2 linked regions of the Callithrix jacchus genome follow. The protein of the gene in region 1 purifies or fractionates together with the protein of each later gene. This does not show direct contact. Links are inferred from orthologs where the notes say so. Each region holds a gene or a part of one and is shown on either strand. Other genes may lie near its edges.

Region 1 (4,275 bases):
GGGAGATGCCAAGTGGTCAGCACAGGCCCGAAAGCAGGAAAGCTCAATGTATATTGAGCCCAGGGCCTGCTTCACCTCAGGGCCACATGTCTGGCCTGTGTCTGAACGAACAAGACTGAGCTGGGTCCCTAGTCTGATTCCTTTAGGTCAGCTAAGACACAACCAGGATCAGCCATGCTTCCAGGATTAGAAAGGAGGTCTACTGAATGATCCACGGCACCCCTCTGCCTCTGCAGGTTGGTGTAATCAGTTGGGGAGTAGTGGACGTCTGCAAAAACCACAGGCGGCAAAAGCAGGTACCTGCTCACGCCCGAGACTTTCACATTAACCTCTTCCAAGTGCTGCCCTGGCTGAAGGAGAAACTCCAAGATGAAGATTTGGGTTTTCTATAAGGGGTTTCCTGCTGGACTGAATTAAAACAGCTGCGACAACACCTGTGTTCCAGATCCTTTTGGGGCGATGGAGTGGGGAACAGGCACTGGCCATGTTGTTACAGAGATCAAACCTCACAGCCGTTTTTAAAGGCTTAACCCCAATCCCAAGTGCTGAAAAACCAGAGGCTGAGGGAGATGTGTAAGCTTCCACCTCAGTGTTTTACTGAGACCAGCATTGGGGCATATGAGGCACAAGGAATCCAGCTCTGGTCCCTAGAAGCCATCCACAAGGTTTTCCTTGTAGACATCATCACTGTAGACAATCTGGGTCCTCTTGTCCCGGTGGCAACCCTTAGGGCTGTTCTGGACAGCTAGGGAGGGAGGAGAGGAAGAGTTAAGGTCTAAAGGAGAACACAGATCAGACCCTGAGGCCGACTCTGGACTACCTCACTCCTGGCCGGGGTCTCTGGAAGCCAAGTTTTCACACTGCCCTCTGGTGGCCAGGATTGTCTGTCTCCCTTAGCTCCTTCGTGCCAACCCATGGCCAAGAAGAGTACAAGTGGATATTATGATGAATGTTTTGTTCTTAGAAAAATCCCAAATGTCATTGCTGAGACACGTGAACGATGTTACCCACTACTTATAGTATGTCAAAAGTTAAAAACTAGAAAACCTCTGTAGCCCTTTGTTGACATGCTAGTCAATTCTAGTTCCTTCATTTTGTCTGAAGGGTCATTCTTGCTCTGAGCCCTTCTTTCTGCTCACTTCTTTCCCAGGAACATCTACTTTCAGGTAGAATGGTTAATCACACTAAGAAATGCTACTAGCTCCACCAGGAGAACTCATCCAGGGTGTAGCTTTGGCCCTCACCATTCTCTCTCAAGTCCCTGGCTATTTCTTCCCCTTTCTCTTTCTTCCCTCCATCAGACATGTCACTCTTTTCACCCTATCTAACAATTCCATCCCCACCACTCTGGGGCTAGAGAGAATGGCTCCTACCCACTTCCCACCCTGTGATCTCTGTACCTTGACACTACTGGCTACTCTCTCATCTCAAAGTGTGTGTCCTTTGGCTTCAGTGACCCAGGCCCCTCTGATGCTGCTCCCAGCCCCGACTCCTGCTCCTGTCTCCTTTGCTACATCAGGCTCAACGTTAGCCTAACACATCAGGAGAGCTGGGGATACGTGGGGCATGAGGAGGACAGTCCTGTTTCCTAACACAGTCCCTGAGTACTCCTCAAGCCTAGTCCTGGGTCGTTTTTTCCCTCTGAAATCAGTCTCCCTGTTATTGTTTGGGAGCATCGCTGTGATGTGGATGACTGAATCTATGTTTTCATTCCTTACCTCACACCTGAGTTCCAGATCGCTGATTTTAAATACTGATGAAACTTGTTCTACTCCATCTTGAAATGAACAAGTCCCATGAGACACTCATCTTTCTCACCAATCTCACTCCAGCTGCCACTTTCTTTCCTGTTCAGTCACTGCTTTGGAAGTTGCTTTCAATCCTTTTCTCTCCTTTCTTTACCTCTGACGGAGGATCTGAAATTTTCCTTCCCATCCCCACAGCCTCCACACAAACTGACCTCTGTCATCTCTCGGAAACCCAAGTACATGAGGGGAAACCAAAAGGAGTGGGCTGTGGGAGAGACGATGGGGAAGGAAGAATCCCATTCTTACCAAGGGAGCCCCAAACAGACTTGCCAGTAGCGGCATCCAGCATGGGCTGTTTTCGGGCTATATTGACTTTGAGCTGTACAGACTCCACCTGGGTCCCGTTGAGCTGAAGCAGAAGAGGGGAGGCAGAGGACGGGGAACAAAACATTACAGATAAACCAAAGAAGTTATTCCAGGGGTTGCTATCCTAGGAGTAGACTGAATAGGAATCTGAGAATATAAGTTTTTCTGCGTGAATAGGGAGACTTTCTCTATCAAGAGGAACCAACTTCTTCCTGGCATCTAGTATTTTGAGAAAATATGAGAACAGCAGAAGCGATGGGAAGAACAGATTTGGGAAGTTCCAACCTCAGCAACGGCCTGATCTGCTGACTCCATCTTTTCATAGGTGACGAAGGCACAGCTAGGATAAGAGAAAACAGGGTCAGTGGAGAGCCAGTGGGCTCTTGTGGACCCAACCAAACCCAGTGATCATAGGTGGCTGCAGGCAGGGCAGCTTCTTCCCTCAGGTCTCATACCCCAGGATTCCCCCAGGACTTCCTTCTCATCCTGCCCTGTTGTCATCCTTACTTTCTGGGTGGGTCCATGGAGAGGTCAATGATGTTTCCAAAAGGAGAGAAGGCCCCACGGAGGAGGGTGGGTGTCATGTCTTCTCCGTACACATAGAGAGTGTTCCCTTTCCTAGGGGCTCGCCGTTCAGGGAATGAGTCCGACCCTTTGGGATCAGGAATCACAGTCACAAGACATAGCCCATGCCACACTTCACATAGTAGGACCCACATAAACCTTAGTTAAGGTCACCTTGACCTCCAGGCAAGCTCACTCACTGCGGAAAGGACCCTCTCGGTCTCGGTCTCGGTCTCGGTCCCGCTCCCGCTCCCGATCCCGGTCTCGATCCCTGTCCCGGTCCCGCTCTCGATCCCGATCCCTGTCCCGGTCCCGGTCCCGGTCTCTGTCTCGGTCCCGGTCTCGATCCCGCTCCCGATCTCGGTCTCTGTCCCGGTTCCTCTCATGGCTGCGGTCCCGGCTGCGACTTCGGGGAGGGGAGGCTGAGGACCGGGCACCACCACGTTCTTCATAGCCCCAGTCAAAGCTGCGAGGGGGACCATCACCAGCCCCTGGGCCCTCTGCCTCTTCTCCATCTGGCCCTAGTTCTCGAAGCCGGTCGCTAGAAGACACAAAGCTGGGGAGAAGCACACTGAAGATCAAAGGGGGCTTTTACCTTCTCCCCTCAGACCCTGTGGAGACTCAACACTCCCTCAACAGCACAGCCCCTACAGCCCAAACCTCCCAAGGACTCAGGCAATCAACCCCGCCAAGTGGGCCCAGTCTTATCTCTACTCTCTAACCTCTCATACAGAGATTTCCTCTGGGGACGTCTGGATGACTGTAAAAGAGACCAATAATAGTTAAGATTCCCAGTTGCTGACATGTGGTGCAAAATACGTTAGTCTCTCATGTTCCTCTATCCCCAACCCCTCAGAGACAGAAAATTAGGAGCCTTTACCTCCTGAAGGTCATCATCAGCAGATATGCTCCTCTGGAAGGGCTGGAAAGTGGGGACTGGTCCCTTCTCAGGGTCCTGGAGAGGTGAGGGACCTCCCTCAGTGTGGAGCAGAAGGCTGCCCAACCATGGAACAAAGGTGTTCCTCTTTGCTCACCTTCTTCTAGGTTTCCTCTGATCTGTTTTTCCTTTTAATTCTATGTACATTTCTTATTTGACTATGTGGTTTTATTTTTTGAGACAGGGTCTTGCTGTGCTGTCCAGGCTGAAGTGCAATAGTGCAATCATAGCTTGCTGCAGCCTTGACCTCCCAGGCTCAAGCAATCCTCCCACCTTAGCCTCCCTAGTAGCTGGGACTAGAGGTGCGCTCTATCATGCTTGGCTAATTTCTGTATTTTTTCTTTGCAGAGACAGGTTTCACTATGTTGCCAGGGTTAGTCTAAAACTCCTGGGCTCAAACAATTCTCCTGCCTCAGCCTCCTAAAAGTGCTAAAATTATAGGAATGAGCCACTGCTGCACCTGGCATTGTTTTTTCTTATTTTTTTTTTTCCTTTTTCTGTTTAGACAGAGTCTTGCTCTGTCCCCTGGGCTGGAGTGCCATCTTAACTCACTGCAACCTCTGCCTCCTGGGTTCAAGCAAGTCTCTGGCCTTAGCCTCCTCGGTAACCGGGACTATAGGTGTACACCACCATGTTCTACAATTTTTGTATTTTTAGTAG
Region 2 (4,414 bases), on another chromosome or scaffold:
ACATTAGGATCATGATCAAAATTCCCCAAACATGAGGCCGGGCATGGTGGCTCATATCTGTAATCCCAGCACTTTGGGAGGCTGAGGCAGGCGGATCATGAGGTCAGAAGTTCAAGACCAGTCTGGCCAATATGGTGAAACCCCATCTCTACTAAAAACTACAACAATTAGCCAGGCAATTAGCGAGCCTATAGTCCCAGCTACTAGGGAGGCTGAGGCAGGAGAATCGCTGGAACCTGAGAGATAAGAGTTGCAGTGAGCCAAGAGTACACCATTGTACTCTAGCCTGGGCAAGAGCAAGACTCCGTCTCAAAAAAAAATTCCCCAATCTTCCAACAGCAGGGTCTAGAGTTGGAAGTGAAGGCAGATTAGATGGCCCTTACATTCCCCAGTTCTAACACTTTTTGACTCAGCGGCTCAAGGTGAGGCCAGGGGTGGTGGCTCAAGCCTATAATCCCAGCACTTCCGGAGGCTGAGGCGGGCAAACTACTTGAGGCCAGGAGTTTGAGACCAGCCTGGCCAACATGATGAAAGCCCATCTCTACTAAAAATACAAAAATTAGCCTGTAATCCCAGCTACTTGGAAAATCACTTGAACCCGGGAGGCAGAGGTTTCAGTAAGCCAAGATGACACCACTGCAATCCAGCCTGGGCAACAGAGTGAGACTCTGTCTGAAAAAAAAAAGAGAGAGAGAGAAAAAGTCTCGGCGTGGTGGCTCACGCCTGTAATCCTAGCACTTTAGGAGGCCGAGGCAGGCAGATCACCTGAGGTCAGGAGATCAAGATCAGCCTGGCCAACATGGTGAAAGTGAAACCCCATCCCTACTAAAATACAGAAATTAGTTGGGCATGATGGCAGGTGCCTGTACTCCCAGCTTCTAGGGAGGCTGAGACCACAGAATCACTTGAACCTGGTAGACAGTGGTTACATGAGCCGTGATCGTACCACTGCACTCCAGTCTGGGCAGCCCAGTGAGACTCCCCCCCACCCCCAAAAAAAAAAGAAAGAAAGAAAAAAGTCTCAAGGTGATATACGAGATGCCCCAAACACCAACCCACCACTAAGATAATTCATACCCTCTCATCTGGACCACTTTGGTGGTCAGCAATTTGATGAAGCTGCAATAGAGGCAAATGACATGGGTTTGGGTCCCCTCTCCTTCCTTTATTAGTTTCATGACTTTGGGAAGGTCATTAAGTCTTTCCACCTCACTTTCTTCACTTACCAGATAGAGTAACACCCAACTCAAAATCTTGAGTGTGGAAGGTGATAATGCATGAAGCACATGGCCCAGGCTCTCAGCCACATCTGACTCTCTATCCACTCTACCCTAAGCCTCCAACGCTGTGAAATGATCCAACATGCAAATCTACTCATATCACCTCCTGCCCCAAACTCCTGAACAAGCCATTCAGCGGCTCTCCAAGGATCTTCAGACCTGCTCCCTACTGACCTCCTGCCACTGCTTCCACCAGGCAGCTAACCTCACAGGCCTTCTTTCAGTTCCAGAAACACATCGCCTGTCCTGTTATTTGCTACCACAGCTCCGAAGCCGTCATCACACCACCATCCATGTTCATTGAAGTAAGCCCACTGCATCCTTCATTCCCTCAAAATACCAGTTCAAAATGGACCAAATATCCCCATTGTTGATTCTTGTTAAAAATGCAAGTTCCTGGGCCAGGCGCATGGGTCACACCTATAATCCCAGAACTTTGGAAGGCCGAGGTGGATGGATCACCTGAGATCCAGAGCTTGAGGCCAGCCTGGCCAACATGGTGAAACCCCCTCTCCACTCAAAATTTTAAAAAATGAGTGTGGTAGCAGGCGCCTGTAATCCCAGCTACTCGGGAGGCTGAGGGAGGAGAATCACTGGAACCAGGGAGGCAAAAGTTGCAGTGAGCCGAAATTGCACCATTACACTCCAGCCTGGGCAACAAGAGTGAAACTCTGCCTCAAAAAAAAATGCAAGTTCCTAGGCTCTCGTGCAGATCAACTGTAGGGACCTGAGAAGCTGCACATTTCAATCATGCGCAGCAGGTGGGTTTTAAGATTAGAAAAAGGCTCCGGCCAGTTGTCCTGGCGCTTGAGGAAGCGAGGCTGAGTTCAAGGCCAACCTGAGCAACATAAGAAGCTCTCATTAACAAAAAAAAAAAAGGTTAGAAAAAGGTGGTGACAAACCAGCCTGACTAGAACTGCCTTCCCTGGCTCTGCAGGCCCTGTCCTCAGGGGAGAATAGAGTGACCCCTCCTGGGCTTCCACTCCAAACCCTGGAAGGTCAAGGCCAGAAGATCCTTTTCATTATTTTGTCCAAAGACAGATGAAATCGGCCAGGGGTGCTGAAGAGTACAGTTTATAAAACAGTGAAACACAGTAGGAATGCCCAAAGTTTTACTTTTTCCCCACGATGCTGGTGTGAAGTTTTCCATTTTATTTTTGTTTAAAACTGTCTGGGCTTCGAGCCCAACCCTCCACCTTAGTATTGGTGTCCCACCCGCCGTGGGGGTCGCAGGGCCGGCGCCGAGGCTGGCCGGAACGAGGGGTCACTGGGGGCTTCGGGCTGTCCCGCTCCAGAGCCACCGCCGCCTCGTCCCCGCCCCACGGTCCTGCAGGCGAAGACGCAGGGACCCCGGGCTGGGGGGGCGGGGCGGGCTGTGTAGAACCACACGGAGACCGCGCAGGCCGTGCGCGCGCACACACCCCGCACGCCCGCGGCCTCGCGCCGCGCGGGCTTGCCGGGAGCGGAGCCGGCCCGCCGGCGGCGGAGACGAACGATCCTCGCCGGGGAGCGCCCGATGCCCCGCCTTACCTGGCCGCCGTCAGCCTCGTCGCCCGACTCGGCCGCGCTCCCGAAGTAGTCCTCATCCATGATGGCTCCCGGCGCGGACACCGCCATGCTCTACCGCGAGCTAGCGTGGCGCATGCGCGAGGCGAAAACGGGCGAGCGGACGCACGCGCGGCCCCGCGGCCCCGCCCCCCGCGCGCTCGGCCCGGGCGGGAGGCGGGGCTTGGAGGAAGGGGTGGGGCCTGGAGGGGGAGCAGAGCCGCGGGCTTCCCGCTAGGAACAAAGAGGACCGGGCGAAAGGAACGCCCCCCAATCGGTTTCTGAGCGCTGCTAGGGTGGGCCAGGGGCTTATGCAGAGAGGTTTCCAACTGGACTCGTGCACGGTCTCACTCCTGTTGCACCAGCCCTGCGAGCGCCAGTTTCTTCATCGGACAGCTGGGAACAAATTCTTTGGGGAGTGTCTAGAACCCACGAAAGTGTTTTAATTTCTTTTATTTTTGGTAAAAAGTACTAAACGCGGCAGGGCGTGGGGGCTCACGCCTGTAATCCCAGCCCTTTGGGAGGCCTCGGAGGGCGGATCACTTGAGATCAGGAGTTCGAGACCAGCCTGGCCAACATGCTGAAACCCCATCTCTACTCAAAATACAAAAATTAGCCAGGCGTGGTGACGGGCGTCTGTAATCCCAACTACTAGGGAGACTGAGGCAGGAGAATCGCTTGAACCCTAGAGGCGGAGGTTGCAGTGAACCAAGATCACACCACTGTACTCCAGCCTGGGCAACAGAGTGAAACTGTGTCTCAAAAAAAAAGAGAGAAAAGAAAAGAAAAAGTACTAAATGCAGTGGAAAGTAACGTTTTTAATTTTTTTTTTTTAAATGGAGGAAAGGCCCGCAAAGCAAAAGTGTCCAGAGCCCACAAAAATCTCTGGAGAAAGGACCTCCCTGGTAGCTGCCAAAGGGCGCAGGTGATGCTGTTGTGAAGCCCGCAGCACACTTCTAATGTGAAGTAGGGAGTAAGAACATGACAGCCTCTTGATAATCACGGAAAGGCTTTTGTTGGCTGTTGAGTGTGTGTGTGCTTTTTTAATTTTAAATTTGGTACATGTGCAGGTTTGTTACATTGGTATATTGTGTGATGCTTCTAATAATCCCTTCACCAAAGTAGTGAACATGGTACCAGATAGGCAGCTTTTCAACCTTTACCCGCACCCCCTCACCCCCCCCCCACCCCACCCCATCTCCCACACCTTCTGCCTTTTGGAATCCCCTGGGTCTGTTGTTCCCATCTTTGTGTCCAAATCGTGGAAAATTTTAAGCAGGGTGAAATTTTAACGCCATCAGATCTGGATACTTTAAAAGGAAATTTCCATGGCTGACCGCCGTGGCTCACACCTATAATCCCAGCATTCTGGGAGGCTGAGGTGGGAGGATTGCCTGAGGCAAGAGCTTGAGACCAACCTGGGCAACATACAGAGACATCCCCATCCCCTCGGCCAGGTATGGTGATGCATGCCTGCAGTCCTAGCAGCTCAGGAGGCTGAGGCAGGAGGATTGTTTCAGCCCAAGAGCTTGAGGTTGCAGTAAGCAATGGTCATGCCATTTCAGACTGTGTGACAAAGTAAGACCCTG

The links.
Region 2: the proteins of NELFE (region 1) and NELFCD purify together in Homo sapiens (affinity purification with mass spectrometry; 9 studies listed by BioGRID and IntAct, counting the BioPlex papers as one, with this or other methods). This does not show direct contact. The link is inferred for Callithrix jacchus from reciprocal best matches to the Homo sapiens genes NELFE and NELFCD.

Annotation. Positions count from the first base shown.
Region 1 is NC_133505.1:39,471,384-39,475,658, forward strand, and holds the end of NELFE (negative elongation factor E), read right to left. Parts: intron 3,634-4,275; coding exon 3,559-3,633; intron 3,439-3,558; coding exon 3,401-3,438; intron 3,235-3,400; coding exon 2,879-3,234; intron 2,767-2,878; coding exon 2,622-2,766; intron 2,455-2,621; coding exon 2,400-2,454; intron 2,158-2,399; coding exon 2,055-2,157; intron 746-2,054; coding exon 648-745; 3' UTR 575-647; downstream 1-574. Other genes in the region: CFB (complement factor B), read left to right, coding at 237-392. UniProt on the Homo sapiens protein: Essential component of the NELF complex, a complex that negatively regulates the elongation of transcription by RNA polymerase II.
Region 2 is NC_133506.1:54,549,185-54,553,598, reverse strand, and holds the start of NELFCD (negative elongation factor C/D), read right to left. Parts: upstream 2,908-4,414; 5' UTR 2,898-2,907; coding exon 2,811-2,897; intron 1-2,810. UniProt on the Homo sapiens protein: Essential component of the NELF complex, a complex that negatively regulates the elongation of transcription by RNA polymerase II.